Linked DNA regions of Arabidopsis thaliana. The protein of the gene in region 1 interacts with the protein of each later gene in a pairwise test. Each region holds a gene or a part of one and is shown on either strand. Other genes may lie near its edges.

Region 1 (4,415 bases):
GTTTGTTTATATTTGTAACAACTTTCATTGTTTTTCAGTGTATGATTTTTGTCGACAAAAAAAAAAGTGTATGATCTTATACAATGTACATTCTCAAATTTCACTATGATAGAATGAAATGGAAAAAAAATATCTATAGTGAAGTTTACATAACATATTTTATCGTCAACTTTAAAACTTTATTTTTTATATAATAAGAATAATAAACTAGAAACCATACCCATCGAAATGCAGAATTATATGGATAAAATAATTTATGATGAGAATAAAAATAAAATGTAGGAATAATTTATGAGATGATGCAATACAATGGTCCTTGGGACTTGATATCTCTCACTCACTCTCTCTCTCATCTCTGAACAAAACAGCACTCTATAGTCTATAGGGAATCCAAAACATTCATTCAGACCTGTCTGAATCTTTGAGACACAAGTTTTTGTTTCCCACAGGGTTGCCACTTTTTTCCAAATTACCATATTACTCTCTTTCCTTTTTTTATCACCCATTTTTTTCTATTTATTAGTAAGATTTTTTCCTTCAAATAATAATAAGTCTCTACAATTCAACAGTGAATTCTTCTCTCCATATTATCTTATTAACTTACAAAAACATTTCAAAAATTATTTTGAATTAATTCTCTGTCGCTCCAGCTATATGGTCCCAACATCTTTTGTCTCAGATTGGGTGTAATTAAATGTTTAGTTGTGAGCAAAAAAAAAATCATGTGATTATTTTTTTGCATTCATGTGAGTTTATTCAAGTATTTAGCATATGTAGTAGTTTATAAAAAAAAAACTCATAGATACTCCATATAAACGGCCAATCATAAGGGCATCGGAAAAAATAAGGAGATAAAAAAAAAGAAATTTTTAAGTACAAAAAAAGAAGAAAATGTTAAATTTCTCAAAGAAAGGCAAAACTTTCTCCTTCTATGGAAAAGAGATGGGAATAATTATGATGATTATAATTTTGTTTTGTTTTGTCTTAATTAATATTAATAAAGCACCGTGATGCGAATCAACGGCTCAGCCTCATCGCACTCACCGTCTATAGTACTCGCCACCACCGCCTTAATAATATCATTCTCTACAGTCTCAGCGCACGTTAGCGTCTGCGCCTTCTTAGCCTCCGATTCCCAATCTGTGGTCCCCACCACGTACATCATAAGACCTGCGCAGCTAATCTGCGCCGCAAGTAGTCCTACCCAAAGCCCATTAAACCCAATTCCGGCCCAAAACCCGAGACCCACTGCCACCGGCATGCCCACCAGATAAAACGCTCCAAGGTTCACGTTCGCCGCCGTTGACGGTCGTGCTGTTCCTCTCACGACGCCGCATCCCACCGTCTGAGGACAGTTTCCGATCTCGCATAGACCTAATATCGGTAACGCCGCCGCTGTTAGCTGGAGTATCTCTTTGTCTCCGGTGAAAATCCTTCCCCAAGCGTTTCTGACTGAGTAAGCAAACGCCGCCGCTATAATCCCTGTAACCGCCGCGAAAACGATAGCCACCGTAGCCGTTAGCTTTGCTGTCTTGGGACGGTTGGCTCCAAGTTCGTTTCCGACTCTAGTTGAGACAGCAAAGCTAAGAGAAGACGGGAAAACATAAAGAAACGACGTCGTCTGGATCAAAACGCCCATAGCAGCCACCGTCGATCTTGGATTCACGAGCAAACCACACAAAACGATCATGATCTCGTACCACCACCATTCCAAACACACGGAGACACAGCTTGGTCCCGCGAGACGCAGCAACGGAGCCCACCCGCGGAAACAATCACGGGTCGGGTCAGTCCATGTAGGCGCGTGAAGACCACTCGCCCAGACGTAGCAAACGAGGAAAGCAACGACGAAGATGTTTGTGATGGAGGAAGCGACTGCTACGCCGGTTAAACCAAGACGGAGGTAAGAGACTAAGAAAAGATTAGCCGGGAGGTGAAAAACAGCGCCGGAGAGAGAAGCTAGGGTTACGGGGTGAATGATGCCTTGAGCACGAAGGTAGATTCTGATTGGATGAAGAAGAGTGTTGGTGAGAAGATCAGGTAGGGAGAAGATGAGATATGTCTGAGCTAATTTCGCGATGTCGGGGTCTTGGTGAAGGTAAACCGATATTTTGCCGACGTTAAACCAGAGAACCGAGATCGGTACGCAACAAACCAAGAGAAAAACCACGGTTCGATGGAGGGTTAGGGAAAGGAGTTTGAAGCGGTGAGCACCGAAGGCTTGAGAACAGAGTGGTTCCATACCAAGAGCTAAACCGGATAAAACAGAGTAACCGGTTATGTTAGCAAAGGCAATGGCGAGTGAACCGGCGGCTAATTCGAGGTCACCAAGTTGACCCAAGAAAAACATTGATACGGCTGAGCGTAGGTAGAGGACAAGAGCCGTCACGGCGATCGGAAAAGCTAACGTGAAGAGAGATTTCGCCTCTGTTACAGCTTCTGCCATAAGAGGAGATCCTCTGTTCTCACAATGCCGGAGATTTCTCTTTGTGGGTTCAAAGCTATTGATCGAGAAGAGATCGAGGAAGAGTCCGGTTCGAGATTCTTGGTTCTCTGAACCGGTGGTTGTTGTTGTTGTTGATGGGTTACACATGACGGTGATGATGATGATGGTGTTGATGAAGAAGAAGAAAGATTTGATCTTTAATGGGAAAGAGAAAGAGTTCTCTCGTGAAGAGCTCTCTAATGAGTATGAGAGGTTTTAACAACTGAGAAAATTGAAAGGAAAGAGAGATATGAATTTTTTTTGGTGCTGCTTCTCTCTTCTCAGAGCTCTCTCTTACCATCTTAATAAAGGAGTTGGCAGGATTTTTTTTTTCTTCATTTTTAATTTTTCGAAATTTTTTCATGAAAAAGAATCTAAGCTACTTTTTTTTTGTATATTTAAAATACTTTTAGAAGTCACTTTATATGGATAAATACATTAATAGTAAATTGACAATGTATCAACTTTTTTGATACATGAATGATTTGTGACATAAGTTGGAAAAAAATCAACTAAAATCAAATACTTACCCAAATGTAATTTACTGGTGGACCATACACAAAGATGCTGTATCCGATACGTATTAGCAAACTATAAGAATATACGTATCAAATCCGAAATTTTAGAAAACCTACTAGCTAGGTCAAGGGAAAAAAATTAAGAATATATGACAAAACTTTTTAATCTTATGAAAAAAGTGGTTGAAAGATATGAGGTTAAATTTTATTTTTGGTCAATTAGACAAAACATTGTAGAGCATCCAATGGTTTGTACTAATATTGCTGTTGTATCACAATCTATATTCAAGATTTGTGAGTGTAGGTATATATGGCTTATTAACCCACATATATGTATAACAAGTTCTTAATATATTGCATAGATCTTGGTCAAATCCAAGCTAGTTAAGTTTAGTTCAATACTACTATACTAGTGTTTATGGTCTTGAATACTTTGTAAAATCAGTAAAGGATAAGCAAAAATAATCTAGGTATACTAAAATAAAATTATGAATTAAGATAGACAAGGCCAATATTACAGTACATCTTTTATCTAAAGACAGTTCAATGTAACGTCTAAATAATTTAAAGTAAGTAGATTTTGATTAGCATATATAGTACAAGTTCATTGCACGTGAACTCTCGAATCCTTTTTAAACGACCATTTGGCACAAAAAATGTGTTTGCATTTACTTAACTTTGAATTTCTTTTTAATTTGTCTTCTTCTTATTTTTAATGTGTTTGTTTAAAATTCACGAAAATGTCCTTGTAAAATTCTTTTTGTTTTAAACTATTTTGTGCTGAATTTCTTATACAAATAGAATTTTATCTCTGTTAAATACACTATTTTTGAAATAGTTATATAGTTAAATATAGTATTTGGTAAATTATATTGAATTTTAGAATAAATCAAACATATATTATTATTTTGCGAAAATATTAAAATGATATATTTTTTCGACCAAAGTAAAGTCCAAGGCCATAACCTACCACATGAAGTTATGAATCAAACCATGCTTAGCGTCGCTACCATTGTTTACTTACTAAACCAAAACCGAACGAAGAGTCGAACTAGATATCTTATCAAAACTTGAATGCAAATCGGTGATTTATAATTAAAGACCCAACACTAAAATTAATGTTTCGCTTGACTCTTTAATCAAAGCTTGAAAACTATGGTTTACAATTAATTTAGCCGTTATTTCATGTTTTGTCTCCATCCGGTGAACAAATTAGACTTAAACAGCAACTTAAGTCCCGGATACATCTTCGTAATGGTTTGCATATTAAGAAATGTTTGTAATTCACAATGGAGTTTAAATCTCCAGCTATTAATGGCTTTTCTTTGACTAAATAACCTTCCAACCAATATTAAATGAAAACATATAGCAAGTTTCTTATAGATGAATTAATTATAAATAATATATAGATT
Region 2 (5,380 bases), 1.7 Mb from region 1:
ACTTTGAGATTGTTGAATTGTCCCATTTTCTTCTTCATTATTCTCAAGTTCTGTTGGTATTGCTTGAGGTAGCTGCAACTCAGGCTCTATTATTCCACCATTATCACTAACAACTGGAAGAGATAGTGCGTCTGTTGTTTTCAAATCCTCCATCGGAGGAAAGCAAGGCCGAAACTTACAAGAGAAATGCTAAAACGATTGAACGAAGCTCGCCACCAATAGAAAGAATCAATGAAAAGAGAGACTTACAAGAGAAAGGGAAAAATGAAGAAAGTAGAAGAGAATTATTGATTTTCTGATTAAGAAGACAAGAAAAGAGAGGTACACAATTGGAAAGTCTATATTTAGAATAGAGACAACCCCGGAAGCAAAAGATGAACACACTCCTCTGTTTTCTCTTTTCCCTCCGTAATTTCTGCTTTGTTTTTTTTAGTTCCTATATTTCAACCATTATTTCATTTCAGAGTTTTACTGTGATGTTTTGTGACATAATTACAGACCAGACATAAACATTTGATCTGATCATATAACAGGAGACAGACATTCGTCATGTTTATAGATAGCTTTTTAATCATCCACTATAGAATCGAACAAGCTTGAACAAAAACATGATTCCTTACACCATATTCGACTTCGACCACAAGTGTTTAAAGCCAATCAACAAAAACAACAAAACATTCTATTCCCTCGTATACATCTGGCCAAAAGATGTTTGCATCTTTGGTACGGTACTCCAATTTTCAAGACTCTGAAAATGGTAACACAGCTGAGAAAAAAAAACCAAAACTATCTCCTATTTCTCCCATCAATCTGTCCACATGGGTTTTGCTCAAGCCGTTACAACACCTGAAACCCATGGAACGATAGATGGCGCTTTTGGGTGGTTGTTTCTGTATGTCTCAGAATATCTGTCTTTGAAATTCTGTTTTGGCTTCTCTGCCTGCAATTCACATAGACATATTGGATATGAGCCAAGCTTCCAGTCCAACTTGGACGAGTAATCTCAAGGAAACTGAAAATTGGGTAAAGTAGTATGTGTACGAGGTAAGTTCTTACGTATTTAAGCCAACACTCCTGATGTTTATGCTCATAAATATCTGGAGAGAAACAACCAAACTCAGATGGGCAATAAACCCAAATATTGCATCTCGTTTCTCCAGGTTTCGCACGCTTTGCCTGGTCTAAGCAAGCCTGGCAACAATCAGCTGCACTCTCTTTATGATGTGTAAGCCCCCATCTCACTGCAGCACCACCATAATCTGTGTGAAGCTCTGCATTACATACAGCTGGCACTGGTCTGCCTGCCAATATTTCCTCTACGGAAAAAATGCACAACTTCATGAGATTTGAATTCGCCAGTGTCACCACACTTTTCCACCCAAATAAATGCAAAAGCAGAGATCAAGAATGTAGAAAATTTTGAAAACATTACCAGGCTCTTCCTCTCCTTCAGGTTTATCATCATGTTCTACATTGGTAACCTCAGCAGGTAACCAGAAACCGATTTCTTCAGACAGCACATCCCACTCCAACTCCAAAGCTCTTACAAGCATCCCTAGATAATTACAGAACAAAAATTAGTTTTCTCTCTAATTATACAAAACAAGGATAGAGTATCGGGAGGACTCCATAAATGAATCTTTGCTCAAGGTGAGAAACTCAGTAATCTTTCTAAAGGAGTAATACCTGCTTCCTCCACTATAAGGGTGGAATTTACTCCATTTTGCCCTTGAATTAGCTCTTTAGCTTCCTCCAGCTTCTCATTGCGCCACGTTTCTACAACTTCTGTTTGCCAAATGAAGATAAGAAGGTATTAAAGGTCACTACAGAGATAACATGAATGTGTCAAAAGGAAAACTATTGTAGGCGAAAACATTAACAAGTCTACGTGCATTACGAATACTACAAGGGAAAACAATAGAACTCAGTTTGAAGCATCAAAAAGAAATCCAGTGTCTTCAAAGTCTGGATTATTAGAATTTTGTCACCTCTCTCTAACCAAATAAATTAACCCATTCCTACCTTCCACCTTTTTCCAATAACTCTTGTAAATAACTAAGAATTAACGCACATTGCGCATTAGCCTAGTCAGCACATAATAAATGTTAAGAGTTGTTCAAGTGAAGTGAATAGAATGAAAAATCTACTTTTAACAAGTCAAAAAGGTAAATATCATGACTTTTTGGAATTCTTGAGCATACTTTTTCTGATGCAGTAGAAAGGAATTAGAGAAGCATGTTGAGACATACGAACATGTTAGGTAAGCTACTGAGAATCTAAAGAACATCGAAAAGATTATGTATACAATGGCACCACCGCTAGAGTTTCTGTGGCTCAAATGTTTCATGTACATAGCATATGATCATCAATGCATAGATTATAACAGAACTTAAGTGGGTGTTAGAGCTTATGTTCCATAGACCTGATGAACTTATACAAGAAGAATAGAAAAACTAGGCATGAAAAAATCTCCATTGAAAATCCCGCTAAAATCAATTGTTCTGTCTAGTATGTGATAGTGCATGCAGAAAGGTCTGAAATTTGTGAGCCTATTTTACTATCCTGATAACCATATGCATTATTGAGCAAAAATCCACTTCTACATGAATGATAATGAAATATTTACTAAACTGAGCTATTGATACCAACAAAATCTTACACAGGTTAGGTAATAAGACAAATCACCATGACATTCCAAAGAGGTAATAAGACAAATCCTAAGCAGCTAGATCAGGAAAAGTCATGAAATGCAAGTTTGTGGCAGTTTGAAAAATAAATGTCATGAAGCTAATGGGCATAGTAGAGTAGCACAAACCTCTAAGCTGAGTAACATTAGATTTGTCCTCAAAGCTTTTCAAACGCTGGAGGATCTCATCAACTAGTTTGTGTTTAACATTAGGAGATAGTTCAGTACTAGATTCTGCAGTGGAAACCTCATGCTTGAGCTTCTTCACCTAACAAGGAAATCAAACATTGTGAGAAGAGCCAATGTGCATCTTCGAGTTCCATTTTAAAAAGCCACTAACCAATTGAAGAATCAGAGTAGGTTCCTTCGATCTTCGAATCCGAATAGATTCCTCCATTTTCCTAATCTCATCAGCTGTGTACTTAACAACTGAATAACAAAAAACCAACAGAGCTGCTTCAGATACGAATTATCATGAATCAGAGAGCAAAAATGAAAAGGAAAATAAAAAGTAGGAACCATTATCGTTATTGGAATAGATGTGGAGAGAAGAAGCATAGAGAAAGCGAAGAACAAAGAGAGCAATGAGAATGTTGAAAAAGCAAACAAGTAGAGTGATTCTTTTGAAAGAGAGAACTCCGGTTCCGGCGATCCCTCCGGTCCATTCTCCTCCTCCCCTCGCCATCTCCCTCCGCCGTCATCCCACCATTTCTCAAGATCTCGCTTCCGATTATAATTACACTTTTGCTTTAAATCGAACACTTGAAAGAGAGATTCGATTTCTTTTTTTTTTGCTTCTTCTTCCGGCGGAAAAAGGAAATCGTGGGAGATAGAGAGAGAGAGCTTTTAATTATTACTCTATTAATTTATTTTTCACTCGACAGAGACAGAGATATATACCAATCTCATCAATGCGTGTGGATAAAAACGTCGTATGTATTTCTTTGGCAGCGTCTATACTAGATAGGAAGTTTTGTAGTATTATTTCTTGCAATTGTTATGTAAATACTACATCTTTAAATGTGGTGATAATCCTATGATTCATGTCATTGCCATTTTTCAATCCAATATATGAAAAAAATGGAAATTAAATTTTTGAAAAACTACCTTTTACCTAGCTCCTTGTCAACATACGAATTCTAATTGAGACTCTCTTCTTGTAGCTTTTCTTTTCTTTGCTTATAATCAGAAAACACAACACACCCGATCATTCCCCAACCCCGGTTTAACCAAAACTCCGTGTCGGTCATATCTATCTGCGTGATCTTCCTTGAAAGTCGAGAGATCTGCTGATTAGGGTTTGGATTCGATCTTTGAAAAAGTTGGCGAGTGGATTTTGAATCATGGAAGTAGATGATGGTTACGTGGAGTATGTTCCAGTAGAGGAGCGTCTAGCGCAGATGAAGCGAAAGGTGGTGGAAGAACCTGGCAAGGTAAAGCTCACTGAAGAAGCTAAACCTAGCTTACTTGTTCAAGCAACTCAGCTCAAGCGACATGTACCTTAAGTCAGTGCTACCGAGGCCATTATTTTACAAGAGAAGGGGATGATGGAGCATTTATCTGACAAGAAGAAGCTTATGTCTGTTGGTGAATTAGCCAGAGGTATCACTTATACAGAGCCTCTCTCAACATGGTGGAAACCCCCTCTGCACGTTAGGAAGATGTCAACCAAACAGATGGATTTGATTAGGAAGCAATGGCATATTACAGTTAACGGTGAAGATATTCCTCCTCCAATCAAAAACTTCATGGATATGAAATTTCCGAGTCCACTTCTCCGTATGCTCAAGGATAAAGGAATAATGCACCCTACTCCTATCCAAGTTCAGGGTCTTCCTGTTGTTTTGTCTGGCAGAGATATGATTGGGATTGCGTTCACTGGTTCCGGAAAGACGTTGGTTTTCGTGCTTCCTATGATCATATTAGCTCTGCAGGAGGAGATAATGATGCCTATAGCTGCTGGAGAAGGTCCCATTGCGCTTGTTATTTGTCCGTCTAGAGAGCTTGCTAAGCAGACTTACGATGTGGTTGAACAGTTTGTGGCATCTTTAGTCGAGGATGGATACCCGCGGTTGAGGTCGTTGCTATGCATTGGAGGAGTGGATATGAGATCACAGTTGGACGTTGTTAAGAAAGGTGTTCACATCGTTGTTGCTACTCCTGGAAGGTTGAAGGATATCCTCGCCAAGAAAAAGATGAGCTTAGATGCTTGCAGGTTGTTGACACTGGATGAAGCAGATAGGTTGGTTGATTTGGGTTTCGAAGATGACATAAGACATGTCTTTGACCACTTTAAGTCTCAGCGTCAAACACTTTTGTTTTCTGCCACAATGCCTGCAAAAATCCAAATCTTTGCCACAAGTGCTCTGGTGAAACCTGTAACTGTTAATGTAGGAAGAGCTGGAGCTGCGAATCTCGATGTCATACAGGAGGTTGAATACGTCAAGCAAGAAGCAAAGATTGTTTACCTTCTGGAGTGTCTGCAGAAAACCACTCCACCGGTTTTAATATTCTGTGAGAACAAAGCTGATGTTGATGATATTCACGAGTACTTGTTACTGAAAGGAGTGGAAGCAGTGGCTATCCATGGAGGAAAAGATCAAGAAGACAGAGATTACGCAATATCTTTGTTCAAAGCTGGGAAAAAAGACGTTTTGGTCGCGACCGATGTTGCTTCAAAGGGTTTAGATTTCC

What was found.
Region 2: the proteins of ADS1 (region 1) and AT4G33380 interact in a protein complementation assay, tested with the Arabidopsis thaliana proteins (one large-scale study listed by BioGRID).

Annotation. Positions count from the first base shown.
Region 1 is NC_003075.7:14,367,326-14,371,740, reverse strand, and holds ADS1 (MATE efflux family protein), read right to left. Parts: upstream 2,865-4,415; 5' UTR 2,594-2,864; coding exon 995-2,593; 3' UTR 546-994; downstream 1-545.
Region 2 is NC_003075.7:16,070,055-16,075,434, reverse strand, and holds AT4G33380 (dimethylallyl, adenosine tRNA methylthiotransferase), read right to left. Parts: upstream 3,696-5,380; 5' UTR 3,372-3,695; coding exon 3,206-3,371; intron 3,116-3,205; coding exon 3,027-3,115; intron 2,955-3,026; coding exon 2,816-2,954; intron 1,786-2,815; coding exon 1,687-1,785; intron 1,556-1,686; coding exon 1,433-1,555; intron 1,317-1,432; coding exon 1,057-1,316; intron 941-1,056; coding exon 830-940; 3' UTR 521-829; downstream 1-520. Other genes in the region: AT4G33390 (WEAK CHLOROPLAST MOVEMENT UNDER BLUE LIGHT-like protein (DUF827)), read right to left, coding at 1-153; AT4G33370 (DEA(D/H)-box RNA helicase family protein), read left to right, coding at 4,030-4,119, 4,228-5,380.